Linked DNA regions of Styela clava. The protein of the gene in region 1 purifies or fractionates together with the protein of each later gene. This does not show direct contact. Links are inferred from orthologs where the notes say so. Each region holds a gene or a part of one and is shown in the gene's direction. Other genes may lie near its edges. The genes, in order: E3 ubiquitin-protein ligase HECTD1-like, cytoplasmic 60S subunit biogenesis factor ZNF622-like, structural maintenance of chromosomes protein 2-like and structural maintenance of chromosomes protein 4-like.

Region 1 (7,835 bases):
AGATTTTCCCCAAGGGCGCCGCCGCTCGATAACTAGTTTTGGTTTTCGGCGTCTCCTTTCACCCTGTTATGCGATTTTTATTATATTTTCTTTAATTTGAGCATGTATAGTTTGTATTTTCAGCATGATGAAAAAATAAATTACTAATTACTGACTGATTACTCGCCAGTTGAAACGGGTACTATGACGTCACGATTCTGGTACCATGACGTTTTACTACAACCTCAAACTTTTCAACGTTTTTTTTAATTCAAGTCATTACCAAATATACTTACTTATAGCCACAAGTGTATAGTTGGTATTTTCAGCGTGGTGAAGAAATAAATTACTGATTAACAGAACGTTCCACACAGCAACTAAAATCATCAAAAATGTCGTTGGACAAACCTCGGATGTATCTACCGATGTAGTACGTAAATTAGTGGATTGTGTCGGATATTGGCGGGTTTACAGACTTATGGTTCTAGGAAAATTAGCAGCAAGAAATTTCGTCGTAGGAAATCTCGCCGCAGAACATTTGGCCGCAAGAAAATTCGGCGCATGGGGAAATTCGCGGCATGCAAAATCGTCGCAAATACATTTTTCTGTAAAACAAGTATTTGTGATAAAAACAGTTATGTTTTTGACCTTTTCATTTAAAAAGATTAGTTATTTAAGAGCATACCCTAAACCTATAAACCCAACGGTTTTTATTATTACAAATACTTGCTTTACAGCAAAATGCTCTTGCAGCGATTTCTCATGCGGCGAAATTTTCCGCCGCAGCATTTCCTACGGAGAATTGTACGAACACGCAGACTCACCCCGCGGAATTTTATGTTTGGATAAGATTTTCATATTTATTCTGGGAAAAGGGAGGTCGAGTAGACAGCCTAATCACACGGCTAACCACGATCTTTAGTCCGGTTACCAGTTCATGTCGGGTATGGCAGCAATTCCCAAAATCTTTGCTCATTCGGCCCCGAATTATCAGGGGAAAAAACCCACGCCGTACTTAAATGAAAAATTGCTGACTTTTAAAAACTCAATTTTGTAATCGTTAAAGACTTAAAGTGTACTTTATGCTTTTTAAAGTTTGTAAATATACAGGCCTAAGTAATAAACGCTCGGGATCAACTCGGATCTTTCGTACAAAGCTAATCCCCGCAAAAGCTCAAAATAAAAAATTAGGTATTATTCAGATAGGGTCAGGAATGCAGATTGCGCCGGAAATTCAAATTTTTAACACAATACTAACGCTAACTGGATAATTACCAATTTTTGTTTAAAAATGTGGCGGGGTGTTATTCTCAAATCTCACATTTTTGCACTAGAGACGGGGCCTTTGTACAAAAGATCTGTCAACTCTTCTTCATCATCACAGCGCGATTTTCCTTTGAAATACTAAAACAATCACTCATGTTCGCCAACCTCGGTTCAGAAGATACCTAAACTGCAGCCTACAAAATTGTAGCGAGAAGTGTCTACCTCTATTCTTACGTAAAGCAATAGACGGGTAACATAAATTTATAAGTATAACAGCCGTTGTTACGACATAAATACCTGCGCAGAGAAATTGGTACTCCCGAAGTATGTGTACCAATTTTTCTTACTCTGGGAGTACCGAGAAATTTTTGTTTCATGCATTATAAGCGGTACAACTTCGCGCGGGTCGCATTTGGGAACCTGTTTTTGAATTCCGATATCTTACTTCTTCAGCTCTTATTTCGTCGCCATCGTGATCCACGCTTGGCTATATATGTGATTCGATAGATAAACAAGTTAGTAAATTATTTTAATAGCAAAGAAATATTATTTTCGGTATGTTCTCATATCAGAATTCGAAAAAAATGGTAATTTGCTCATATTTGTTTCCAGAAATCTGGCAACGCTATTTATATTTCATGTCGTTTTTTTGCTGCCCACTCGCGGTACGGAAAAATTGTAAATGTTAAGTTTTTTGCCGCAGTTCAATATATATGAATATTCAACAACAAGATAAGCTGTTTGCTTTGATAACTGTTTAAAAAATATTTTAGCATTTTATGCAGTACCCAAAACAATGGGATACTAATTTAATCGATCGATCGCGAAACCTTTACTCAACGCTCAGAGTTTTAATAGTCTGTCGAAGTCTTTGTATAATTTGCCCAAAAATTCGTTCGTGATGAATGTATATTTATAAAATAGACAAACAAAATCGTGACATTAATATCACAGAAGTAACTATGCCGATCAGTTGAATTGTGAATTCATTTGTCTTCACAAAAACTGTTTATTCAAGTGTAGACGAATGTCGATGCCAACCGAAATGATTATCCCAATGAGTAATTACCATCTTGTCCAGATTCAATATCCATTTTCGTTGTTTATATGATAACAAAACAAACACCTATTTCGCGATATAAGTATGTAATTCAATATTAATCTCCACTAAATGATTCAAGAGTCTTGCTGCACACTAACAAGAATACCGTATGTTTTTGTAACGTTACAGCAATATATTTGTGTTATGTGCAGCAAGATCACTTCGGATAGTTATATTTACTTTTGATACAGCATCATTGCATTTTATGCATACGGATCCACCGTCGCAAAAGCATTGAAAAGCGATAAGTAGTTAGTCCCGCAGAAAGCAAATCATTAGCGCAAATCTCCGCTAATGCACAAAATCTTTTCGTGATTAGCTATCACAAATATGACGTCACAGCTTTTTTCGTCACGTTGCTGTTTGTATTCTATTTCGCCATTCTGCGTCAGCTGGCGACCGCGGTTGTTTTCTCGTTGCGCTTCTTTGTCATTGTTTGTCTTTGTTTTCCTCTGTGCCACGCGTTTGTGTTGCGGTTATAAGGAGTTGAGTCTTTAGGGGGGTATGGTTCAGTTGAGATTTATGAAAAATATCACTGTTTTGAAGGCGGGATCTGGTTAAAGGAGAACATTATGTTTGTTTTCTCTCCACACCCTGACATCGCCAGACTCACAGACTGTACGGTATCCTACAGCCAGACAGTACGGTCATGACGGTACGGTACCGTATTCTTGTATACAGGTATAAGTTTATCTCGACTTCATAATCATCATAACAAGCAATAAAATGAATGATAAAAACAAATTAATAAAACTGATAATGAAATCAGTGAGACAGTGGTATAACTGCAGAACTGTATAAGTATGAGCTCGGCAGTGGCGCGGCGGTGTGGCTCAACGGGCTAAGCGTTAGGAATACGCTCGCCACCGCACCTCTAATTACTCTGCGTGGGTTCGCAGGTTCTAATCCCATGCAGGGATGGTTATGTGCGAGAGGATTGCTGGACTCCTCGCCGTCGTTGGGTGGTTCACGTAACCGCTGGTCGGTTACGGCTTCCTCCACCACCCAGTCTGGATTTCATGGCCTTTTTGAACGAGAAATCGGGCGTGCAATCAGAAATTCCCGCGTGCAAATAAGAATTCCTGGCGTGCAATTATAGCTCACGACGTGCAAAACAACTGCACTCGCGTGCAACTGACTTTGACATCAGATACCTCTCAATACATCCGCGTAAAATTACCGGTATCGGATAAAAAATACGTTGAAACAGAGAAAAAATGGACGTTTGACCTTTGACCCCAAACATTATTTCTACAGTTTGTCGCTAATTTTGAGAGTGTTTGTGCGACTTTGGATACCGGTACTGTTCAGTACATCCGCGTAAAATTATTGGATAAAAAATACGTTGAACCAGAGCAAAATGGACATACTTTGTCATTAATTTTGGTAGTGTTTTTACGTAGAATTAATGGATAAAAAATACGTCAAATTAGAGCAAAATGGACGTTTGACCTTTGACCCCAAACATTATTTTCATACTTTGTCACTAATTTTGGGAGTGTTTGAGCAACTTTAGATACCGGTACTGTTCAGTACATTCGTGTAAAATTATTGTATGAAAAATACGCTGAATCAGAGCCGTACTTGGCCATTGGTGCGGAGGCGATCTTTTCGTCCATAACTATTCTCACGGGATTCCTATCTCCTATCATTCAACACGATATGGACCTTTCCCCGAGCATCGACTTCCTTGTTTACTTCGTGACATTGGCCAATCAGCAAGATGCAAAAAAGGACGTAACAATGAGAGGAATTTTTCGCGGGTCAAAGGTTGGGGAAAGGTCCATGGTCTTTTTGCTTCGCAATATTTCGATCAGACCAAATCTTGCAAGCTGGTATTTGTCGACAATTGTGGAGTTATAATATTTTGGCATCTTTATATTACTGGATTATTGATTTTAAAACCATTTAAACCGATTTACATTGGTGAGCAATTGCAAATTTTCGGCGTGCAAAATTGATTTCGCTCGCGTGCATTTTTGCGGAGCGCTAGCGCCCTCGGGCGTGCACCTGCCATGGAATCCAGTCTGGTCCACCACCAAGTCCATGCTTCCGAAAACAAATAATACAGTAAAACTAATCCCATACCCGACTTGGAATGGTAACCGGACGAGAGGCCGTGGTTCGCCATATGAATAAGCCGTCTTATCGGCTTTCCTCTCCCCCGGGATAAATATGTAAATCCTATCCAGTGTGGCGCATCGTGCTAAGCGTTAGGAATACGCTCGCCACTGCATCTCTGATTTCCCTTCATGGGTTTGCAGGTTCAAATCCCATTCGGAGATGATCATGTGCGAGAAGATTGCTGGACTCCTCGCTGCTGTAGGGTGGTTTGGAATTGGATTGATATTTTTTTTGATTATTGAGTGTCTTTTCTTAGAAGCAAGAAAACATTAATTTCGATCTTATTACAAATACTTAAACTGCAATACAAACAGTAATAACTATTATTCTTCAACTTTAATACACAGTTTATTTTACTATCATTGTCTGCAAACTGTTAAATCAATACAGAGCAACACCGAGGTTCACATTCAGTGTCCTCATTACCATCAGTGAAAATGTCTTTGTGACTCGACGCAAGAGATTGTGCACACACAGTGCATAAGGACATTGGACCATATCAAACTTCATATACAAGGCAGGATATCACATTATTGGAAACTGGTGCTGTAACAAGCCTATATAAGTCATAGGCTTATCTAATAAGTTATTGTAAACTATCGGATTGATTCTTGCATTTATTGGATTATCTCAATCAAAAACGCAGAAGTAAACTTGGTTATTGGGAATTACATAGATAGAATTTTTAAATAAATTCTGATTTGAAATCGTCAACCCTTCGACCATGGCAGATGTTGATCCAGATACTTTGCTGGAATGGCTTCAGATGGGATTAGGAGAGGAACGTGATATGCAACTAATTGCATTAGAACAACTATGCATGCTTCTGCTTATGTCTGATAATGTGGACAGATGCTTTGAAATGTAAGTTGGATTATTTTTACTTTCAAACATGGTTGTCCAGAGTGAAATTTGAACATATTGCTCGTATCACGTAACTGCTGGTGGTTTATGGTTTATCTTAGTTGCCCTTAGGGCCGGTTTTTAATCATAGTTTGAAACGATATTTGCCAAAGTATTTTAATAAAAAAATGCAGGAGTTTGAAAATCAAAAATATATGATTTTCTTATTTTCTCTGTTTCTTGGAAGCCCGTTATATGCCGGTAGTTTTTTCAATTTCCCATGCATTGTACATAAGTTTTAACATAAGGTGTCATATTGTATGTCACAAGATAGCAATAACGTCACCAATGTGATTACCCAACTCAGCATGTCATACTAATGTTACGTCGGTTGAGTCACAGGATGCCATATAAGTCTATTTCTGATTCTGTATATAATGGATGCGCACGACAAATATTTTTGTAGTTGCTGTGTGTCATTCACTAAACACATAGACATAAAAAAAATCTTGTCCTTGTTGTCAAAGATATATTCTTAGGCTATTCTGAGAACTAGAATGAATATTTTTTGATTTTAATGCCGAATTTCCTAATAAAAAAATAGCTCTTTTATTTAAAAAGTGATGTGTTTATGCATTGGGTTTTTTGTTCATTAGTTTCATCCATTACTAATTTTTATTGACATGCTGCACACTGCGATATGATTTCTCAGTTCTGTCGCCTTCAGCTGATTTAAAAAAAATAGAGATGGCCGAAGAATTCAATCCAAATAAAATTCCGAGTCGCAATTCTTACCACTTCATGGCAGATCCTGCCACGAACGAACCGATGGCAGCCCTTGCCATGGGATATGGCGCTATTGCTATATGGCGGTTTATTCACAAAGTCATGTACCAGATATTAGTTTATCATGCGGAATTATATCTACTTAAACCTGAAACCTAACCCCAAATCCATCAAAACTGTATAAGAAAAATGTTCTAACTTACCCAATTATGTCATCGTCAAGAAAGCCCTGCCATTATAGTCGACATGCCGTGCTTATGGCAGCAAAATTTAACCCGCCATTGGTTCTCAACTTGCTGCCATGGTAACGGCATCTCGTCATTGGTTTGTGGCAGCTAAAAAGTAAGTATCGGTAAATAATGGCCATGGTTTGAAAATCCCGCCATGGTTTTGAAGAAGCTTCAGACGCCACAGAATACTTAAAACTGCACTTGGAAATTTCTCATTAATTCAAACCACAATGTAGGGGTTTAATTTTTTTGGGTCACTCTGTACTTAATAATATCGATGTGGGACAAATGGCACATATTATACAATATCAATATTATTTAATGTCATTACTTATCGATCTTAATAAGATTGGTACGTATGTTGATGGGTATTTGTCTGTTTGTCTGTCTGTCTGTTAGATGCATGCGATATCTCACGAAAGCGAGGTTTAATCTGCCCCAAATTTTGCATGTGCATTCACCATAGCTCGTACCAAAAGCCTATTGATTTTGGATGAATTATGTCATATAACTTGCGAGTTATTAATTAATTGGTGAGTACTATAGAGTCTGAGTGAATGAATGGGGGATCCCCAACTTTTATCGATAAGTCTTCGGTCTCCGACCGATATTCTCGTTTTTTCTATTGATGCTTAATCTTATATAAGTGTTGAAATTTAGAAATTGTGGGTCAATATTTGTATTTGTCACTAAATTAGGATATATCAATTAAAGATCAAAAATAAATTTAAAATAATCATAAATTTTGTAAGTTTTATTTGGGGATTAATAAAAATCGTTACTTAGGATGATTTATAGGTTTATTTTAAACCAATTAAACCTTTTGCGCTTCCCAGAGGAGTAGTCACAGCTTACTGGTTTTCTAATGATGATCATTTTAATGTTGCGGTTCATAATAACCCAAATATGCTTCGTTTTAAGTTGACCAATATAAGTACAGGTGTTCCTTGTGTCTGACTGGCTTTCCTACAGTTTAATTAACGATATCAAGTTTTATCATCCTTAAAACAATAGTTGTCTTCGGTTGAAGCTATTGTATTGATTGTAAATTGATATCAATATATGTTTGGTATGTACTTTGGTATGTATAGGCTTTGGTTGTATTTATCTAAAAGAAATCTTCCAATAATGCCTACATAACAATATATTTGATATACACATACAAATCGATCAATGAATTTGGATAGACATTGCCGGTTGAAAATTAAAAATTTATAACCAAAGCATGTATTATGGTATGCTGAATAGAAGGTAGCTTTTATGTATATATGCTGCCTTGTCTAGAGGCATGAAAACACTTAATTGGTTTCTGCGAGACTAACTACTTATCCTGCTTCTATGCTCTTGCGCCGCCGGATTCATATGCTTTTCTTGTTATAGTTGAACTATGTATGTCTGGAGAAGTCTGACCTTGGTCAGACGAAACGTTACAGAAATATATTTGTGTTAGTGTGCAGCAAGACTCCTGAATCACTCAGGTTAAACATTTTTGTTATCTATTGCGT
Region 2 (6,006 bases), on another chromosome or scaffold:
ATTGTTTTCTGATTTTTCATTTATTTCTACAGCTGTTTCAAGTCAAGTAAACTGTCTGAGTGCCATGATGATGATCAATTTCATCAGCTCTATTGGAAGAGCAAATTTGTGAGTTTGTCACTATTTAAATGCCATATTATTTGTATGTGAACTGTCCTAAATTTATGTAGTATCAGCTGTTAAATGAAAATTATTTTTAATTTGTGTGTATATTCTGTATTATTCGTATAGTGTGAGGATACTTTTATTCTAGTCATTTCTTTTTACATGCAGGCAAAACTAGTATCACATGATTTTAGAGTAGAGCAAAGTTGTTCGACATGCAATCACAATCGAAGACAAAAGAGTTAATATCTGAAAACTAAGAATACTCTACTGTTTTACTTTTCCAAATTCATATAATTAAATATACATTGGATTTTACGTAATTCAAAACTATCATTTCAGAATACAAAAAATCTGTACAAATTCGAATACAAATCATTCGGTTTTAGTCATTGCCTAGGTCAAATTTGCTTCTTTAATATCTAGCGCACTTCATCAATATACTATCTTTAACCCTGTATTTTTATTTTTATTGTTCAGGTCATGAAGACAAACAACTGTTATGGATAGAATTATAGTAAAAGTCAAGGTTGCAGCAGTGCTTTATTCTACGCCTCTGTGTCCAGCAAATATGTGGAACCCGGTTAACTTAAGCTTAACAAACAAATAATTCTTGCAATAATTCTAAAACATTTAGAGGAAACATAGTTATGTCAATTTTTCGTCACTTGGCGAGTCTTCCGCAGAAGAAATAAATAAAACCTTCAAATAGCAACGAAAGCAACAACTATGATTGCACCTGTGTCTGTGTGCATTACGTTGACACATTCCTGTCTCAAAGCTGTAGATCCAGGATAAAATTTAGCACCTCTTCCGAATTGATTCTATGCTTTTCCATTTCTTGAATGTCAGTACATTTTAGCAGTCATTTGAACAAATGAATATTAGTTATTTTTGCAATACAAATTTTCAAAATAATAAAATGTTAAATATGTAGAAGCCTGTGGCCCAGAACTTGCCAGGGATAGGTTATCAGCTGAAGTGTGTTCATTTCGTCTGTTTTCACTCTAAGTAGGATGTGGGTTCTGTAATTTAAGTCTGTTTGTTGTTACGCTGAGGTTTTAGGAGTAAAATATTAGATTCAGTTGGTGTTGTAGACCAGGGTCGTCCAACTCGTGGCCCGCGAGCAATATGTAGAAGCATTTCTAGGTGTTTGCAAAAATAGCCTGTCAAGACAGACCATAACTCATCGTGTTGAAGAGCTTGGGAATTCTAATGCGGGAATTTTAAATGCAGAAGCGGAAAATGTTTTTATCGTATTCCTTGGCGCTTGACGATGCGCTGACATTAAGTTTACTGCTCAGTTAGTGACTTGCTATCTTCTTGCGGGTAGTTAATGATGGTATAAAATCACCGTGGAGACTGCAGCCATTGCCCCTGTTAGGGGTACGACTAGAGCTGTGATAAAAATGATCAAGCATCTTGTCTTTGGCTAAACTTTTGGGAATAACCACTGATGGCGCCCGTCAATGGTTGGAAAACAAGTTTTATTGTTCTAATAATTGGGAAAGTTTGATGTGAGGGTATTTTTTTTATTTTTAACCTGTAGTAGTGTAGCAAAACTAGATCATAACTACCATGTCAAGTGGCCCGCGCAATTATTTTTGAATCACGTGTCCCTTCGACCAAAAAGGTTGGATTTATGATAAATTGTTATTATTTTGACATTTCGGGTAATGCGCGTCAGCTCTTCGTAGGTCTGCCGCCCAGCTTGTTTTGCTTTGGCAAAATCAACGAAATACATCAAAAACCGACTTTGCAAAGACAGCAAATTACAACAAAATCGGGTTCGCGTTGTCATCGCCATGGGAATACGAGGTCAAAGAGCAACATGCCACGACGTTTTGATGAAATGCCTCGTGGCGTCGGACTTAAACCAGGATTAGTTAAGTAACCGCTAAACTGGGTTTTTGATCTCCGTTTAACTTTCGAAGTTAAACCGAGTTTAACTAATCCGAGATTAGTCTTAATCCAGGTTTAAGTTAAGTGAGGTTTTTGATCTCCACCCTTAGTGTTGTCCGTTCTGGAGTGAGTTTGAGAGCCAGGTCGATTACGAAAACAGATACCGGTATGGTAACGATAGTTGATTGTTTAAATACAGAAATAGCATATCAAATAGAGTTCAGTAAACAATCAAGCACAACTAATGCTATCGTACAGCACACTATACAAATCGAGTGACATTGTCCCGTTTCAGAGAAACACATTTTACAGATAATCAGACACCCCTCCTTTGGGAGACGTATGAGCATTGTTGTCCCTATATATTGGTTATAATACAGTATAATGAAGTTACGCAAAATACTACAAAAAGCGCAATCTAATAACGTCATCATCGAATTCCTTGGGAAAAAAAATCCGATTTACTGAAGGAAAAAAATTTTTACCGTAGCATTCAGGAGTTTTTGGCAAAAAACCGCAATTTTAGTCATGTGACGGCCGCGATTATTTTAGATTGTTATTGAGACAAGCATGGCACGATATGAAGCATCTGATGTGATTCCAGAAGCCCCTCGTTTGTGAGACACATAGAGTGTTTGTTTTATTGAGCTAAATGGAGGGAAATTCTTGGAATTCGGATAATGCTGGCCCCTAGTCTGTAGAGTACCAAAGCCCGGGGATGTGGCTCATCATGCTAAGCGTTAGGAATACGCTTGCCATCGCGTCTCTGATTACTCTGTGTGGTGTAATGTAGCGGTTCCCAATGGATTCGCCGTAACGAGTTGCCAAATGCGCCGCAAAAACTAACAGAATTGTGTTAAACATACTGAAAATAGAGTATATTGAATATTTTACATATTGTATTTATTATAAATGTTTTATTATTCCCTAATTTAAATGCTGTGTATATGAATCAACAAATTCATTTCACCTTTCTATGTCGTTTACTTTTCATTACGTAGTGTTTGCCTCTAATGTTACGTCCAATGAAGATAGAAGCACTTGATGCAATTTCGCGAACTGCAGACCTACAGTTTATCTGCTGAATCGTATTTAGCGAACTTGAGTAATTTTTTCAGCATTTCAAAGTAAAACCAGGCAGAGATGGAGGAAGAAGAGTTGACCTTTGCCTTTATTCTTTATACCTACTTGTTTTCTGATAGCAAAACCAAAAGGATTGCTCTAAACTTGGGATAATGGTAATGAACTTGAAAGTCAAAAAGCTAGGCAGACGGTTAACAAAAATAACGCTCGCGGAACACAGTTTGGGAACCGCTGGCATAGAGGATTGAAGCAATGTTTCATTGTATCAATCAATTTCTGAATTTCAGCTCACAGTAAATTATGTTATTGTGATCAAAATTGTACTATATAAGCCTCACCTCCATAGGGTGGTACGCACTGGTCGGTTGCTGCTGTACTGGTATCAAATACGGCTTTGTCCACCATCAAGTTCATGCATCTGAAACAAATAACTGCCTAACTATTCCCATACCTGACATGGACTGGTAACTGGACGAGACGCTGTTGTTCGCCCTGTGATTAAGCCCTCTCATTCCTGTATTCAGCTTTTATTTGATCTTGGTCAGTATTCCTCCTTGTCATCTGAATTTCTCTTTGAAGTTGCAACATTTATTGTCCAAAAAAAGGACCAAAATATTTTTCTGGTTTATGGAATTTTCAATTATTCTGTCAGTTTTTTCTTGAATGAACTTTTCATTGCAACCACTAATTTTTGAAATATGATGCTGGCTGTGAATAGTCACATGCTAAGCTAAGACAACATTAGTTTTCCCATTATTATCAATTCCTAATCATTTATCTTGTGTAATTCATACTCCATTATTTACAGGCAGATTTATAGTAAATAAATATTGAAAACATATAATATGTCTGCTTATACATGCATAAGTTGTCATGTGGCATTTTCTGACCCTGATCAACAAAGAGGTCATTATAAAACTGATTGGCATCGCTATAATTTGAAGCGAAAGGTTGTTGGAATGCCACCAGTTTCTGCATCAACCTTCCAGGAAAAAGTGAGGGAGCGCCAGGTTGTCACTGCGGACAAGGACACTGAAGGCATATCTGGCTTTTGGTGCAAACTATGTCAAAAACGTTTCAATTCACATAATTCATTTGAAAATCATAAGCAATCAAAAAAACACAGAGAATATGAAAATGCTCACTTGCAGCAAGTAAAACAAAATTTATCCAAGGAAGACTTGAAAAATGAAAAAGATGAATCTGGTCTAAACGAAAGTCAATCTATGAAAAAAGCTGTTGCTGATGCGAAAGCAGATTTAGATAAACCTAAAATATTACGGGCAGATGAGAAAGTAAAGACCACAAAAGAATTTAAATCTGGTGACAATCCTCGTATGAGATGGTTCAAAAAACAAGCAAAAGCCCTAAAAGAAGCAGAACATGAGGATGAATGGGAAGATGTAGATTCTGATGAAGAGATGAATGACGAAGAAGCTGATGAAGAGGAAATTATCATGAAAGATGAAGATGCAGATATAGAATCACTGTCTTCTGACATACTCACTGGTTTGAAACAGAGACAGATTTCTTCTCAGGAATGTTTATTTTGTCTTAAATCATCAAAAGACATTGAGTGTAATGTTCTTCACATGTCAAAGCAGCATGGATTTTTTATTCCAGATATTACATTTTTAACCGACTTGGAGGGATTATTGAACTATCTTGGTGAAAAGGTTGGAATGGGTAACATATGTTTGTGGTGTAATGAGAAGGGAAAAGCATTTTATTCCATATCTTCTGTATTGAAACACATGAAAGATAAGGGACATTGCAATATGCTTGTTACAGGGGATGCTGCATTGGAATATGCAGATTTCTATGAATTTGGTGATGATGAGGAAGAGAATGACGTAGAAATGGATTCTGAAGGCGAGGAAGATGATGATAATGTATCTGCAGATATAGATATACAGGATTTAGAACTGGTTCTACCATCTGGGTCATCTATTGGTCATAGAAGTTTAATGAGATACTACAAACAGAACTTTCCACCTGTTGAAAGGCATACATCTAAAAAGCAAAAGCGATTAGCTAGGCTTATTGCGCAGTACAAAGCAATCGGGTGGCACAGTTCTTCTGCATCTGATATTTCTCGAGCTCAAAAGGACATGGCCTACCTCAGGACAATGAAATCCAAGTTCAGATTGAAATTATCAATGAAAAACAACAAAACCCAAATGAAACATTTCAGAATTCAACTTTAAATCTGTACAATTTGCCAAATTGTGCAAAATCAGGGGCTATAATTTGCAATTCCAATCAATGAATTTATTGTCATCCTGTAGTTAACCTTTGTTTGGCGATGAATATTCAATTTAGTCAAACTAACTTTTAAATCAGGACCATTCTAATAAAAGTATGAACACTTTAAGACAATACACTCCTCAGCGAATTGACTGCCAATTGCACTTGTTTACTATCACAGGGTGTTCCAGGTACCGTACCACGTTGGCAGTTATGCTTCCTCCAACAATCATCCATTATGGTGATGCAAATAATATGGCAGTTTGATGCATAGGGTCCCCATAAATATGGAGCAAATAACCGTGCAAACCTTGATTCAAATCGAGCCTTAGTAATATTCAACTTATTGGGAAAACTTGCACTTTTGTTCGCCATATTAGAATCTATTGAAGTGAGCAAGTAAATGATAAATGTCTCTGTTAAAAATAAATTGAACAAATTGCGTCAATATTAAATGAAAAATATTTATGACTGCCATACCAAAACATTTGAATGTATGGCGCGGGACACCGGGACGTATTAAAAACTACTGACACCTGATGTGGTCTGCCATATCATTGCGTCCTCTGCTGAATGTTTTTTGATCAGTTGTAGCTAATTCTTACTCCCATTCAGTTGAGTAAAATCTGGACTGGTTTGAAATGGAATTTCGCAAGAAAAATATATTTG
Region 3 (7,756 bases), on another chromosome or scaffold:
GAACCTCTGTTATTTATCACAAGTGATGAACAGGGACTTTTTTTAGTAAAGGAATGCTAGAAGCGGTTTTGCTTCTAACATTGTAGTCCCCTTCAACTCCTCTGTGGCCCCTTGCATAGGCCCCAGGCCCCCGGTTGGGAGCCGCTGCTTTAGGAGGTATCTTTATTTTCAGGTTCTTCAAAATTAAAAAGAAAGTTTGGTTCGCCATCAGGACCTCAAGAAAGCCCAAGCAAAGGAGACAAAAATACATCAATTTCATCGAAAGAATCACCAAAGTATGTCTAAAGAAGCTAGTTAAAAGAAATTTACTATCAAAATTTTTCAATTTCCCAGTAAAACATCTAGATGTGAATTTTTTCCCCTCTAAGTGTGGCTGAGCGGAATAATCTCATCTGAATTAATCCAATGCCGGTGCTGCCGCATGCCACTTTGTAATTTCTCAGGTTAGATGTCTAGACTAGACCTGATTTTTTTCCACTGAAAAGTGACTGAGCAGAATAATCCCATCTATTTAATCTAATACCGCTGCTGCCATATTTCACTTTCTAATTTCCCGGGTTAGATATCTAGACTTTATCTGAAATTTCCCATTGAAGCGTGAATGTGTGGAATATTCTCATCTAATTAAGCTAGTGCCGGTGCTGCCATATTTTATTTTCTAATTTCTCAGGCTAGATATCTGGACTAAACCCGAGTTTTTATCATTGAAGCGTGAATGAGCGGAATAATTTCATCTAATTGGGCTAATGCCGGTGCTGCTCTATTCCACTTCTCCAATTTCCAATTGGAGCGTGACTGGGCAGAAAAATCTCATGTTATTAATCCAATATCAGTTATATCATATTTTACTTTCAAATTTTTTATTTATTTTCAGAAAAGATCCTACGTCAGCACAACAGGCAACTGCTGATGAAATATTATCAGCGAAACGAAAAAAAGAAAAATCAGGAAGAGTTGAAAGAATGAAAATGCAGTAAGTTGGAAATTTAAATTTAGTTATATTTTACAGCAGCTCTGATGTTCTCATGAATTTTGTTTTGTAATGTTCTTCATGAATTCTTTATGAATTTTATAATGTTTTGAATTTTGAACCAACTCCATGGAAACATGCCAAACTACGATCATGCCATTTCTCCTGTATATGCTTTGTATTATATTTTAACGAACTGATTGGATTATTTGGTTGCATTAAGATGGTCTTTTGTAACAGTTGTATTTACATTAGGTTAAATGTGTTATGCGTTCACAAACAGTGAATTTATATAGATAATAGATGACACTCAAGTTGGTGATCTGTAAAGAATCTGCTCATCAGACTTCCCAACATGCTCAAATCTTTTCTTTAAATTTGTTTATTTTTAGGCGACTTGTGACAGCTTTCTCTGAAGACCAATTAAACAGATATGAAATGTACAGACGTTCATCGTTTCCAAAAGCTTCAATAAAACGATTAATGCAATCCATCGCTGGATGCACAGTATCACAAAATGTGGTGATAGGAGTTGCTGGAGTGTCCAAAGTAAGCTCGTCTTTATCTTTGTATTGGAATAGTTCAGGGCATAGATTCTCAAAGTGCGGAAAAACCTTGGTGCTCCGCAAGCCATTCATTTACTTATTAAAATACTGACTTGGCTAATTTTGTAACTGTCCAAAGAATAACGGCATTAATAAAATTTGACAACAGTAGCGTTGAAATGTGGAAATAAGGTGGTAATTTAAATATGACATTATCTATAAGTTCCAATAGAATAGATAATAGTTTCTAAAAAATTCATGGTGGGGCACTGTAAATAAATATTCAGGCCCTTGACAGGCTCCATAACACCAACAGTTCAAGAAACCCAAGTTTAGGATTAAATCTTTCACAAAAAATCTCATGGATTCGAATTTCTTAACAAATTATTTGAGAAAATTACTTTGAAGTCCAATATTTCTCTTGCTCTCATTACTGGAAATAATTGGCCAACTGTCAAGTCAGTTTTCCATTCACTAGAATCTGATACAATTTTTCTGATTTTGTTGTTTCCTATATTTTATCAGGTTTATGTCGGTGAAATCATGGAGATAGCACTTGATGTTATGGAGCAACAAGGGGAAACGCCTCCAGTGAAACCAAAACATATTCGTGAAGCAATCAGAAAATTAAAAGCCAGAAGAACTTTCCCGTTTTCTAAACTGAAGACTAACCCATTATGATGCCTGTATTTGAATTGTTTTGCCGAAGGCCGAATCCTACCAAGCCTGTCCTGAATGGCTTTTCTGGTTAAGAGATGGGTACATTGCTGTCAATTTCCTATCAGAATCATGAAAAAATGGACTTTTGTGATGCTTCATGACATAATCTTTCAGAATCAGAACTGTTTATTTTGGAATTATAGGGTGTCCATGAGGTCTTAATTTTTTTTAATTGCAAAGGAAATTTATCAATGCACTATATTGTTTTGGCCCTCACAGATGTATCAAATGTAGGACACCCTGTATATTGGGAATATTGTTAAGAAATATTACACCGTGTTTCTCAATTTTGTAGTCGCTGTGGTATTACTGTTGTTCTTTAGTTTTCGTATTATTACTGCAAATACAATACTTATCATAAACTACTGAAGGTTGGACAGATAATATAGTTTTATGCATAGGGAAGGATAAATAAAAAGTTCCAAAATAGGCCAAAAGCAGATTTAAAAAAAAAGGAACGAATGATTCTAACTGATGTGTGACATGATTTTCTTAAGTGAAGTTGAACAAATAATTCCATACCTGAAAGCTAACCGGACGATATGGAAGTCATCATAGCAGCTTTTCTATACTGGATTAATATTTATATCCTATCTAGAACACCCTGTGTGGGGTGGTGTATACATCATGATCTTTCTATTTAATAATCCGTACTTTTACTGCAACTTATCAATGTTCCAATAAAGATTTGTTCAAGTAGGAGTTGTGCAGACTTATGGAATTTATTTGAGAATTCGGGAGGTCCAAAAGTTCCATAATGCCGTTTGCTCTGAAAGTTAAAAACCTTCCTACCGGCTCTAGATTGGCAAGCAATGCTATCGAAAACAGAGAGTTGGACGCTGAGATATAAAGAAAACGTCACATGGAAAACTAGTTTAGAACTTTTCCACGCTCATTACAGGGCATTTGTATCAAAACTAAATATCAGTAATATGTGATATTATATAAGTTTAATAAGTGGTGGTTCCTGGTCTTACAAGCTAATCAACAGGTTGCCAAGTCAATATTGGAAAACAAATTGAAAACGACGTATTTTTCTCCAAAACAAATGAACCCAAAATCACTCCAAAGCTACGTTCAGGTATGAACAACGACTAACATGAAGTAACAATCAATTTTTTCTGTAATCACCACATAAGAATCGCAACCACAATTTTTTTTTTGTTCTTTTTTGAATTCTAGTTTGTAGTAAGTATTGCCATGATCTTCTTTTAGCCAGTGTCTTACACTTTAAAATTGATATAAAAGGTATTGTCCGATTTTACATCGTGCCTTTATTTTATTGTGTTCTTTTGGTGGACGGGCACGTACATGTACGTTTTTAACTTTTTTATTAAGTTATGCCCGTCCTCCAGGTCCTTGGCATTTTGTGAAGTAGGCTACAACACGATGATCGCGTTGCAATATATTTGTTGCACTTTACTTTGGATTTTGTTCGCTTTCCCGATTCTATAATCAGTTTTATTTACCTATTTTGTTTTTATCAATTATTTTATTGTCTTTTATGCTGATTATGGATTTAAAATATACTTATAATTCTTGTAGTTTCACATTCAAACGCATTCCTGTGCTGATTCAGATCCTAATATACTTTTGGATTTATATCCCACTGATGTACTGTAACAAATTTATTCCCTAAAATCAATATCACTGAATGTTGTTTTTCTAAAATTGTAAAAGTTTTGATTCATATTTGTTAGAAATTTTGAATAAAATTGAAAATAGTCCAGCAATGACGTCATGACGTAATACTATGCAAGAAACACAAACTAGCTTCTTATTTTATCATAAATACCAATAAAAATTCTGATTGAAAACGTTTAAAAAAATTTGACTGCGTTAGTAAGTTAGTAACGAATTTGTTGAGTGTACAGTACGGTACCTGATTATCATCAATACCGGTATGTCTGAATGTGGCCCAAAGATTTAATCTATACCGGTATTTATTGAGTGTATCGCATTGCCATCATCTATAAAAACTATATGTGGCTCAGGTCTGTGGTTCACAAACATTACTGCATTAATATCTCACTCAGGTTGTTCGCACGGCGGTGTGGCTCAACGGGCTAAGCGTTAGGAATACGCTCGCCACCGCACCTTAATCACTCTGCGTGGGTTCGCAGGTTCGAATCCCATGCAGGGATGGTTATGTGCGAGAGGATTGCTGGATTGCTGTCCTCGCCGCCGTTGGGTGGTTCACGTAACCGCTGGTTGGTTACGGCTTCCTCCCCCACCAAGTCCATGCTTCCGAAAACAAACAATATATCTAATCCCATACCAGACTTGGAATGGTAACCGGACGAGAGGCCGTGGTTCGCCATATGGATAAGCCGTCTTATCGGCTTTCTTCTCCCCCGGGATAAATATGTAAATCCTATCCTATCCTGCGTCGTAAATATATACTAGCCTACTACGGATGCGTCAATACAAAAAAAATATCATTTAAAAAATCAAAATTTCGCGGTGTAAATTGAACGCATACGATAAAAGGCGGCAAAAAGTCGCCGAGTTTATTACAATTTTCGGAATCCTGGGACCTGGGTTTTGCTTTTTTGGTGGCTGATTATCACAGAATTAGGCTGTATTCGGAGCCGTATTTTCAGTACAAAATGTACATAAAGTCTGTAACCATAGACGGATTTAAATCCTACGCCCAAAGAACAGAAATTAGTGGATTTGACTATTTGTTCAACGCGATTACTGGACTGAACGGCAGTGGAAAGTCTAATATTTTGGATGCGATTTGTTTTCTTCTGGGAATATCAAATTTATCTCAGGTATGTTATGCTTTATTGCTGTTTTGTTTATATTTAAAGGGAATTGTTGGTATAATTAGATTCAATTTGTAGGGGCATGATAATTTCCAATTACAGACATTCCGACTAGGCTAATTGCAGGATTGTCAGATTGCATTTATTTAACTGACCTGACAAGACTGTTTACTCCAGTACTTACTGTCAAATCAATATATTTTGAGTGTAACAAATTCAAACGCCCAATGGCAGAATGGACTTTATGCTGATTATGGAGTCAGGGAGTCGAAATAAACTCATCTTATCTTGGTTGGATTAGTTTTTTATCACAAAACATTCGCAATTTGATTTTGCTGTTTTCTTTTTTAACTCTGTGTGGTTAATGGAAAAAGTGTATATGTCAGTATGTGTGGGGGTGGGGCTCAGGCATTCAGATTAATGGACTAAAGGTTATGTCTGATTTCTGTGTATTTTTCCATTTTTTTTATCATTTTTTATATTTTGGTACGGCACACTTTACAGATCGAGAGACATTGTCTCGTTGCAGAGAACCCCATTTTGTAGATAAACGAACACCCCTCCTCTGGAGGATGCCTGGACATTATTGTCCCTCAATATCGGTAAAAATACAGTAAAATGAAGTTGCACAAAAAACTACATAGAAGCGCAATCTAAAAATGTCATCATTGAATTCCTCACTATTTACTGAAAAAAAAAAAAAATTTACCGTGGCATTCGAGAGTTTTTAGCAAAAAACGGCAATTTTGGTCACGTGATGGCCGTGATTAATTTAGATTATTATTGAGCCAAGCATGGTGATTTTTTTTTCTGTGTAGTTTTCTGGTAAATTTGAAAACACCTATGAAAACTTTTACACCACTGCCATTAAAACATTTATAAATATTTTGTTTCAGGTTCGAGCCTCAAATCTTCAAGATCTTGTTTACAAAAATGGACAAGCCGGAATCAACAAAGCTACAGTATCAATCACGTTTGATAATTCTGTTAAAGAGCAAAGCCCGCTTGGAATGGAAGCTCATAACGAAATCACTATTACTCGTCAAATTGTTATCGGCGGTCGAAATAAATATTTGATCAATGGAGTAAACGCTCAAAATTCGAGAGTTTCTGATCTGTTTCGTTCAGTTGGATTGAACGTCAATAATCCTCATTTCTTGATTATGCAAGGCAGAGTGACTAAGGTTAGTTGTTTCTTTTTGTTTCTCATTTTCCAAACGAATCTTTAATGATTCTGAATTATTAGTTAATTAACGAATTTGTGTGTTCTCTTGGGTTATCACAATTGCTATTACAACTATTTGTGTTTAGTCTGCGACACTCAACTCCAAATTGAAAAAAAATTAATATCAGGCTGCAGCTAAGAATTCTGTAATTTCAATACCATAAATCTTTAGCCTACATTAGTTCATTTGCCACCAATAGACGTCTGTAGAATTTGTAATTTCTCTGGGAAGTTCTCAGTTCTGCCATACAATCCAGACTTCACAATCGTAAAACTTATCAACTGATTTCATTCATTCCACATTGGTGGGAAAAGTTTTCATGCAAGGAGGGCCTCATTAAGAAAATCATTTTTGCGTAGGGTCACCAGTGATGTCACAGTTATGTCACTATTTCCATTTGCTCTGATTGAATGGTGGCTGACATAATCGACTCGAAGACGAAAAAAAAAAAAATTAACATTATTTTAACAATTCGTAGCTTATTTAGTTATTTTAAATGAAGTTATAAAATGTCCTAATTTTGTGTGTAGTTGAAAAAAATTTTCACACTTTTCTCCAAAAATGCTTCGGCGAGTCACGGTTTGTCTATCTCTGTCGATTTCTGACTGCATGGAGTTTGAAAATACAGGATCCAGTCTTGTAACCATTGTCCCCTTTCTATTAAAACTGAATATTTTATCTCAATATTCCAGGTAATGAACATGAAACCTCCAGAAATTCTCTCTATGATTGAAGAAGCGACCGGAACGAGTATGTACGAGGCAAAGAAAGAATCAGCTCAGAAAATGATTGAAAAGAAGGAAAGTAAATTGGTGAGGAAAATGTGACAATTCCTATTTTTTTTATGCAAGGATTGTTCACGTCTTAACTCTAAACAAAGTCCTGTACAAGCAATCGGCGGTTATATAAACAAAGATTTGATTCGTTATCTATTTTTTTGGCTGGTTGACTGGTGTCGATTTGAATATTGCATGTTTGCATTTGTATGCTGGTCTTATGGCTCTTCAATCTCTGGTGAGCAGTGTTAGTTAGATAATTCATACGGTACTCACTGTTGATGTCAGTAGTTTCAAAACTCTAGAATTCCAACTTTTTGATTTGGATATTAGAACCTCGGGTGTCGCTGCTCTATAACCAGCTTTGGTTCTCCGCGACTCCCCTTCCCCAGTTAAATTTTAAATTATCGTTTTCTCGTAATTTGTGCCCGTGTGATATTTTTTTTTACTGGTTGGAAAAAATAAATTTGACTTGACCTGTTTGCTTGTGACTTTTTTTCAATATTCATCCCCTATTTCTTGGCAGAATCAAATCAATCAAGTTTTGGAAGAAGAAATTATGCCGACTTTGCAAAAATTAAGAGACGATCGAACTTCCTATTTAGAATTTCAAAAGGTTCAAAGAGAAGCCGATAGATTGACAAGGTGGGTCATTGTTTTTCTTGGTCAGGTATTCTCAAACTTGCCTTCCTAGGGGCACGCTTCGGAAGTGTGTGAACCAATATGGCTGTAACTAATTCTGTTCGCC
Region 4 (7,657 bases), on another chromosome or scaffold:
TTGATTGATAATTTGGTATTGTATGATTTTATAATTCGTATAGGCAATATGACTTTTTTAAATGGTAATTAAAACCATGATATTCAAAATTAAAAAAAAAGATTAATAATCTTGATCGAATTTGGAAATTGAAAAAAAAAATATTTGTCTTCAATTATAAGCCTGCGGATGCGTCGACAAAATAAAAGCATCATAATTCTAAAATACCACGGCAATCCGCAGACATAAAAATATGTGATAAACTGCCCGATTATATTTTGTTTTGATCCGTATTTTTGCCATTTTGCGAATTCGACAAATCTGAGCCGTACTTGCAACACTGACTCCGCTCAATCGCAATGCTAGCACTCAGATTATTTTTAAGGTAAAACCGTTCAAAAAATCTGTAAATCTGCTGTAAAACCTAACAGAGTAAAATTTATTTCAGCACAATAAAAATTGATTGAATATACTTTAGGTTTAGATCAATTATCTTATATAGCATCACAACTCGGGAAAAGTAGCGTTTCCAACCTCGTATAATGTTAACACAAAAATTTTCGACGAAAATTTCAATTAATGAATAAAAAGTTAAAGTTGGGGGGGTGTTTCAAAATTTAGAGGGTGGTAAATAATTTGCTATTAGAGATAAAACTAGGCTATTTGTATTCTTAACAAAATGGTATGTATTTAAGAAACGATGTACATTGTTGATTGACCAAGATGATTGACGCGAGCCAAAATCCACAGAAGAATAAAAATGTAGGGCCAGAAAAGGGGAGCGAGGAAAAGTGCGGGACGACACGGCTGGGGTTCAGGGCGCGCTCAAGCGGCCTGAGAAAATTTTGAGAAATAGGCACCAAAATAGGCTCTAAGCTTGATTTTAGATACACCTAGCATCGCAGTTTGTTATGTAATGAAATCAATAATTAGAAAATTTAGCTGATAGAATTCCCGGGGAATAGATAACAAGCACGGCTTTCAACCGTAAATATATACTACTACGTTTCAACAAGTAATTTGCAACTGATAGTGACTAAGGAAGTTACTTGCTCATCTGGCATTGTATGAATGGCTACTTACGTTTTGTTACACATTTCTAATTTTTTGGAACATGTTTGTTTGACTTTTGTATGAATTAAATTTTGAAATAAGCTCGTCAACTGATCATAATGTTGTATTCCTTCAGAACTGAAATATTTTGTTGGTAAGAAGACAAATCGCTGAAGCTTGATTCTTTTCAATAAAGAAATAAAAACGCTGTCATTCATCTAAAAAACGTCATTTTCATTGCCTAGTTTTCGTTTTGTGACATCTTTAAGCTTTCTTAATATACGGCTGATATCTAAAATACTGCAGTGTGTAATCCTAATACCCATACGTATACATAAGATACCGGAATAATTCAATTGTTACGAAATAAACGTGCTTAAACTGTGATAATGATGTAACAATAGACGGTATCTAAAACTCAAAAGGTACCACATGAAGGGTTAAACTATTTCACTCAAGTTCGGCGGGCCATTTTAAATCGTCGCGCGGGCTGTAATTGGCCCGCAGACTGCGGTTTAGAACCCCTCAGTGTGAAATCGCACCTCAAAATTAGGGGGGGGGTGTTTGAAATTTTAGGGGGGTATAGGGGGGGTGTAGGGAAATCACTGAACCCCCCATGGGCTGCGCCACTGATCACGGGTATCCACGCTTTCTGGTGTTTACATCAAAAGCATTTAAGTTACTCCAATGACATTAAACTTTAATGTTAATAGTTAATGTTATTGGTTACCCATACAATAGCGAAAAAAATAATAATCACGGATTTTAAATATTCTGGGGTATATGAAATAGAAAGATTCGTAGACTCATTGCTATCGATTATTACTGAGTTATTACTATCGATTTGCCATTTGTATGTTACTTACCTTTTTTCATCGATGGCCTCATTCTATTACGGCTTCCTCAACCATCAAGTCCATGCTTCGGAAAACAAATAACTGGCTAACCATATTTACGGGATAACTAACAAGAGAGCTACGCACAAATATATGGACACGTCAGACCAGAGCGAATCAGTCCTTACCGGTACCTTTGACGCTACCGGTACCCTCAAAAAAGTTCCTAATTTCCAGTAGCAAGAATTTTGCAGAATCAAAACGTACAGCCAGTCATGACACTGACTAAAATCCGTGTTCCCATGGATAAAAAATAATACAGCAAAATATTAGACGAAATATCAAATTTCATAGAATTCACGCAAAATTTTGAAATAAATAAAAGCAATAGCCTTCTAGCGAAAAAATTAATCTTTAACCACTGAAAATTTCAAAGCAATTGGTCCAGTATTCGAAGAGAAAGGCGACTTTTTAAAAACGTGTCAAAGAACAAGAACAACAACAACAACATAATATTGAAACGATCGTTATGTCCACTACGTGTCCAATAATCCCATACCCGACCTGGACTGGTAACTGGACGGTAACTGGCCGTGGTTCGCCATATGATTAAGCCGTCTTATCGGCTTTCCCCTCCCTCGGGATAAATATGTAAATCCTATCCTATCCTTGATTGATCCGGGTAAGTTTATATTCATGCATTTTTGTACCCGTGAAATGGCCCATTCATGACGAATTTTATGGGTCACGCCATCTCGTGGTCTCGCGATTCCCGCGCTTTCTATTATATTTGATGTATTATTTTGATATTCATATAGTCCATGAGTGACAGGTATACGAATAGTTTATAGATATTTTTCATTGTACTTAAAAACAAAAACGTTTCGAAAAGTAATTACGGTATATACGGTAACTTACATACTATCGGTTTTCGTATAACTTGTCCAGTTTTGACATAATGCCATTTCAGTACCGGTACTTGCATTACTGCAGTACCGATACCGGTACCGGTACGGTACCGTAGACCAGGGGTGTGCAACCTTTTTTATTGGCGGGCCAAATACAAGTAACTGGGTGAAGCCGCGGGCCGCACCTTTATTTAATTTAGGCTTTCTGGTAGTTTCAAGCACAAAAATTGCCTATAGCATATTTGCTATTGATCTTACGGCATTATTAAGGGTTCTTGCAGAAATAGTAGATTTAAAACGCATAAACTTCTGAAGAAACTGATATTTAAATTTTTTGTCACACCGACTTCAAACGAATGCAGTGAGAAACACGTTTTTGTAATATAAATCGTGTATTTTGCAACAGAATTTTGCTAGCTTGTTTTGCTAATATGACTGGTATGGGCTTTGCGACGAAAAAGAATAAATACTCGTTTTGCGGGTACACCATTCGAATTCGTTATTTCTCCGCGGGCCGCACAACTTCTTCTTGCGGGCCGCATTTGGCCCGCGGGCCGCAGTTTGCACACCCCTGCCGTAGACTACCGTATCAGCAGATCTGAGCATTCTGCTGTCTCGCTGTTCTGGCTTCTGTTGACAAGACATAAAATTTGGTAGAAAGGGAATGCAGTAAGTTTTTAAAATGTTGGCCAAATGTAATAATAATGACACTCATGTTGACTGATAGGCCTATGTCTGGGCGCATGCTTGACCAAAGCTCATTTTTACGTACCTTAACAGTTTACAAGTTTTGTCACTGACAGACTGCAGGACTGATATTTATAATAAACAAACCTGCAAACGGCAGAACGGGCCAACTCTTGCGACAGCCTGAACTCAGATGCCTAGACTAATTAATGTTTCACTGCAGTAGACTAGCATGTGGGAAATTTTAGTATATATTAAGAAGTAATATTCCTCACTGTATTGTAGCTGGACATCAGAATGATCATATTTTTAGTGTTAATTTATATGAATTTCCGAATTTTGAGCGAACCAGAATATTCTGCGTAAGCGTTAATACCTCCACTTTATTTTTAGTCGATATCCCCAATTAGAATTGCATGATTTCCCCTATAATCTCTATAGCGCCAATATGGTCAAAAAATTTGACGCATCCGCCAACACAAACTATGATGAACTCCATCGGTAATTATATTTATGCCACTCCCAGAGAATTTGTTGTCAAAGGGTACTTTATCCAGTAGGACACAGTTCTCTTATTTCAAGATGTCCCGACATTTGGTTCAATGAAAAAACATTCTTATTTGTCTCTGAAACGAGAGTGTCTGAAGGCAGATGCGTCAGATCATTCCATGCTTGTCTCGATTATAATCCATGGTAAATTAATCACGGCCGTCATGTGACCAACATGGCGTTTTCATCTGAAAACTCTCTGAATGCTATGGTAAAATTTTCTTTTCATTTGATAAATCGGATGATTTTTTTCAAGAAATCCAATCGTGATGTTTTTAGATTGCACTTCTTTTTTAGGTTATTGCGCAGTACTAGTTTGCCAATTTATACCTCCTTTTTACGAGACAGTCTGGGTTGTCATGGCAGACACTCCTCATTTTGGAGACAAATAGGGTGTTTGTTTTATTGAACCAAGTCCTCAAACTTGCTACGAGTGCGTATTTTTGCATGTATGGAAGCACCTGAATCTTTCTGCTTCGGCATTGTTATCCCAATGTCTGAATGTATTCCGAACTGGGTGAGGTGGGTGACATGGGATTAGGACCTGATATGTTTAATCTGTAATACCAACACAGTTAAAGTTGATGCCTCAATCGCTAGGCCATCGCACTGCTTCGTATTTATATTTGATACTAATATTGTGGTATTATTTTCTGGTCTTTTTAAATAAAGTATATTAAAATGACTAAAACTGCCACGGAAAATACTGAAGATAATAAGATGGATACTCCTGATCCTGACACAGAGCCACCAATGGAGTTAGATGATGAAAGAAGTGAAGAAGTAGCGGAACTTGATCTTCCAGAGGGAATTACAATCCCACCTAAACCATTGGCTGTTGGTGTCGGTGCTGCAGGCGAACCACGGCTTATGATAACTCATATTGTGAATCATAATTTTAAATCATATGCTGGAGTTCAAGTACTTGGACCATTTCACAAAAGCTTTTCTGGAATTGTTGGACCAAACGGAAGTGGGAAGTCCAATGTTATTGATTCTATGCTTTTCGTTTTTGGGTATCGTTCCAACAAATTGAGGTCAAAAAAAGTATCAGTGATGATCCACAACAGTGAAAATCATAAAAATGCAACAAGTTGTACTGTTGAAGTTCATTTTCAATCAATTATTGATACAAGTGAAGATGAATTTGAAGTTGTGCCCAACAGTCAGTTTTGTGTCTCTCGTACTGCTTCTTCGGATAATTCATCTTACTATTGCATTGATGGAAAAAGAGTTCATTTTAAGGAAGTAGCCAAATTCCTTCGTTCAAGTGGAATTGATCTGGATCACAATAGGTTTTTAATTCTGCAAGGAGAAGTTGAACAAATTGCCATGATGAAACCAAAAGCACAAACAGCACATGATGAAGGAATGCTGGAATTTTTAGAAGATATCATTGGTTCTTCTCGGTTCAAGGAGGCAATTGAAAAACTGGCAAAATTGGTAGAAGAGTTGAGTGAAGAACGCGGCGAAAGACTCGCAAGAGTCAAACATGTCGAAAAAGAGAAAGATGAGCTCGAACCTTTGAGAGATGAAGCACTTGACTTCTTAAAAGCACAGAATAGAATGGCTGAATTGCAGAACAGACTTGTTCAAAATTATATTAGTAATATTAGCAGAGAAGAGAAAGAATATGCTGTACAGCGAGATGCTCTGAAAGAAAAAATGACTGGAATGGAAGAAGCGCTCAAGATGATTACAGAGGAAAGAAGAGAGAAAGTGAAAACAGTCAAAAAGATTTCAAAGATGTTGGAAAAGCAAGAGTCGTTGTGTCAGCAAAAAAAAGATAAAATGGGTGAATTAGAACAGACTAACATCAAAGTCTTTGAAGATCGCAAACACGCAAAAGCAAAGGCAAAAGATTTAGCCAAAAAAGTTGAAAAAGAAAAACGCAAATTCAAGGAACTCCAAGAAGTGCCAAGCGCTCATGAACGGGATTTAGAAACATTGACAAAAGCACTCGAGGGTTTTGCAGTAAGGAAAAAAGAAGCAGATGAAAATCTTACTGAAGTCACGAGAAGTTTGAAAGATGAAACATCTGATCTTCAGATGAAGATTGAAGAAAAGGAGAAACCCCTCATGGAATTGATGAAAGTTGTAAATGATACAAAACAGGTAAAAGATATGGCGGCAGCAGAACTTGAAATTTATACAAGCAACCATGAAAATGCCGTAGTTGCTCTTGAAAAGGTCACTTCAAGAATTCAGGAAGTAACTAGGATGTTGGAAAGCAGCAGAGAAGAAAGAGAGAATCTCAATCATTCTCTACCTGAGCTTGACACAAAATTAAAAGAGAAGACAAAACATTTACAAAATCTTAAAACCCAGGAACAAGATTTGTCAACCAAACTACAAGCTGCCAGAGGACATCTTGCAGATGCAGAGCATTCTTCAAAATCTGCCAAATCTCAAGGGAAAGTAACAGATTTTTTGATGCAGCTAAAAACCTCGGGAAAATTGCCTGGGATATATGGAAGACTTGGAAATTTGGGAGCTATTGATGAAAAATATGATGTTGCAATATCATCTTGTTGTCCCGCACTAGAAAATATTCTCGTTGATAATATTGAGACTGCACAGAAATGTGTTCAAGCCCTCAAGGTGAATAATGTTGGTCAAGCAACCTTCATTGCATTGGATAAAATGGATCGCCATAGGTCACAAGTTCAAAACAAACCAAGGTCTGCACTTCCTCGCTTGGTCGATTTGATACGTGTTAGTGACGAAAAGTTTAAAGTTGCATTTTACCACGCCTTACGTGATACCTTAGTTGCTAGCGATCTTTCTGAAGCCACCAAGGTAGCCTATGGTAAAGATCGCAGATGGAGAGTAGTCACTATAAAAGGAGAGATCATTGATACTTCCGGTACTATGACTGGTGGCGGTAACAGAGTAGTGAAAGGTCGTATGGGATCAAAGTGCGTTGCACAAGAAGCTGTTCCACTCGAGCAACTGCGAAAAATGCAAAGTGAAGCTGAAGCAATGGAGACAAAATTACGCTCTCTTAGGGGTGAGATTGCACTTGCTGAAGAAGCAGTTGAACAACTCCAAAGAAAATTGCGTAATTCAAAGTGTAGAACGGAGGAGCTCGAACAAGAGGCTTCTGGATTAAATCTTCAACTTAAACAGTTGGAACAACAAAAACCATCGTGTGAAAAAGAAGTTAAGAAAACGAAACCCGATCCAAATAAACAGGAAGAGATGAAAAACAAGTTGAATAAAGTTACGAAAGAATACAATTCTGCTGTAGCAAAATCTAAAAAAGTTGAAGCAGAAAAAAACAGTTACCATGAACAAATTGATGAAATTAACAGCAGGAAACTGAAACCAGCACAAGAGGCTCTTGATAAAATCATCAGTGAAATGAATGCTTCTAAAAAGAAAATCACAAAACTAAAAGTTGGTATTAATACAGCTGAACGTAACATTCAGAAAAGCGAAAAATCGATTGAAGCACTAGAATTGGAGATCACAGAAAATGAAGAAAATTTGAAAAAATTAGAAGAACAATGGACGCAACTCGAAGAAGAAGCTTCAGAACTTTTAAAAGAAACCGAAGAAGTTCAAAAAGAAAAACAAGAAGTGAGAGTTCAATTACAAGAATGTCAAATGGCGCTTCAAGAAATTGAAGAACGTGAGAACAAG

The links.
Region 2: the proteins of E3 ubiquitin-protein ligase HECTD1-like (region 1) and cytoplasmic 60S subunit biogenesis factor ZNF622-like purify together in Homo sapiens (affinity purification with mass spectrometry; 4 studies listed by BioGRID, with this or other methods). This does not show direct contact. The link is inferred for Styela clava from reciprocal best matches to the Homo sapiens genes HECTD1 and ZNF622.
Region 3: the proteins of E3 ubiquitin-protein ligase HECTD1-like (region 1) and structural maintenance of chromosomes protein 2-like purify together in Homo sapiens (affinity purification with mass spectrometry; 3 studies listed by BioGRID, with this or other methods). This does not show direct contact. The link is inferred for Styela clava from reciprocal best matches to the Homo sapiens genes HECTD1 and SMC2.
Region 4: the proteins of E3 ubiquitin-protein ligase HECTD1-like (region 1) and structural maintenance of chromosomes protein 4-like purify together in Homo sapiens (affinity purification with western blotting; 3 studies listed by BioGRID, with this or other methods). This does not show direct contact. The link is inferred for Styela clava from reciprocal best matches to the Homo sapiens genes HECTD1 and SMC4.

What each region holds. Positions count from the first base shown.
Region 1 is NC_135255.1:18,151,254-18,159,088, reverse strand, and holds the start of E3 ubiquitin-protein ligase HECTD1-like, read left to right. Parts: upstream 1-4,822; 5' UTR 4,823-5,195; coding exon 5,196-5,335; intron 5,336-7,835. UniProt on the Homo sapiens protein: E3 ubiquitin-protein ligase which accepts ubiquitin from an E2 ubiquitin-conjugating enzyme in the form of a thioester and then directly transfers the ubiquitin to targeted substrates.
Region 2 is NC_135263.1:18,717,896-18,723,901, reverse strand, and holds cytoplasmic 60S subunit biogenesis factor ZNF622-like, read left to right. Parts: upstream 1-3,878; 5' UTR 3,879-3,935; coding exon 3,936-5,297; 3' UTR 5,298-5,489; downstream 5,490-6,006. UniProt on the Homo sapiens protein: Pre-60S-associated cytoplasmic factor involved in the cytoplasmic maturation of the 60S subunit.
Region 3 is NC_135264.1:15,679,543-15,687,298, reverse strand, and holds the start of structural maintenance of chromosomes protein 2-like, read left to right. Parts: upstream 1-4,746; 5' UTR 4,747-4,844; coding exon 4,845-5,012; intron 5,013-5,902; coding exon 5,903-6,190; intron 6,191-6,924; coding exon 6,925-7,044; intron 7,045-7,534; coding exon 7,535-7,653; intron 7,654-7,756. Other genes in the region: transcription initiation factor TFIID subunit 11-like, read left to right, coding at 173-275, 875-973, 1,363-1,519, 2,041-2,196. UniProt on the Homo sapiens protein: Central component of the condensin complex, a complex required for conversion of interphase chromatin into mitotic-like condense chromosomes.
Region 4 is NC_135251.1:14,605,241-14,612,897, forward strand, and holds the start of structural maintenance of chromosomes protein 4-like, read left to right. Parts: upstream 1-4,656; 5' UTR 4,657-4,693; coding exon 4,694-7,657. UniProt on the Homo sapiens protein: Central component of the condensin complex, a complex required for conversion of interphase chromatin into mitotic-like condense chromosomes.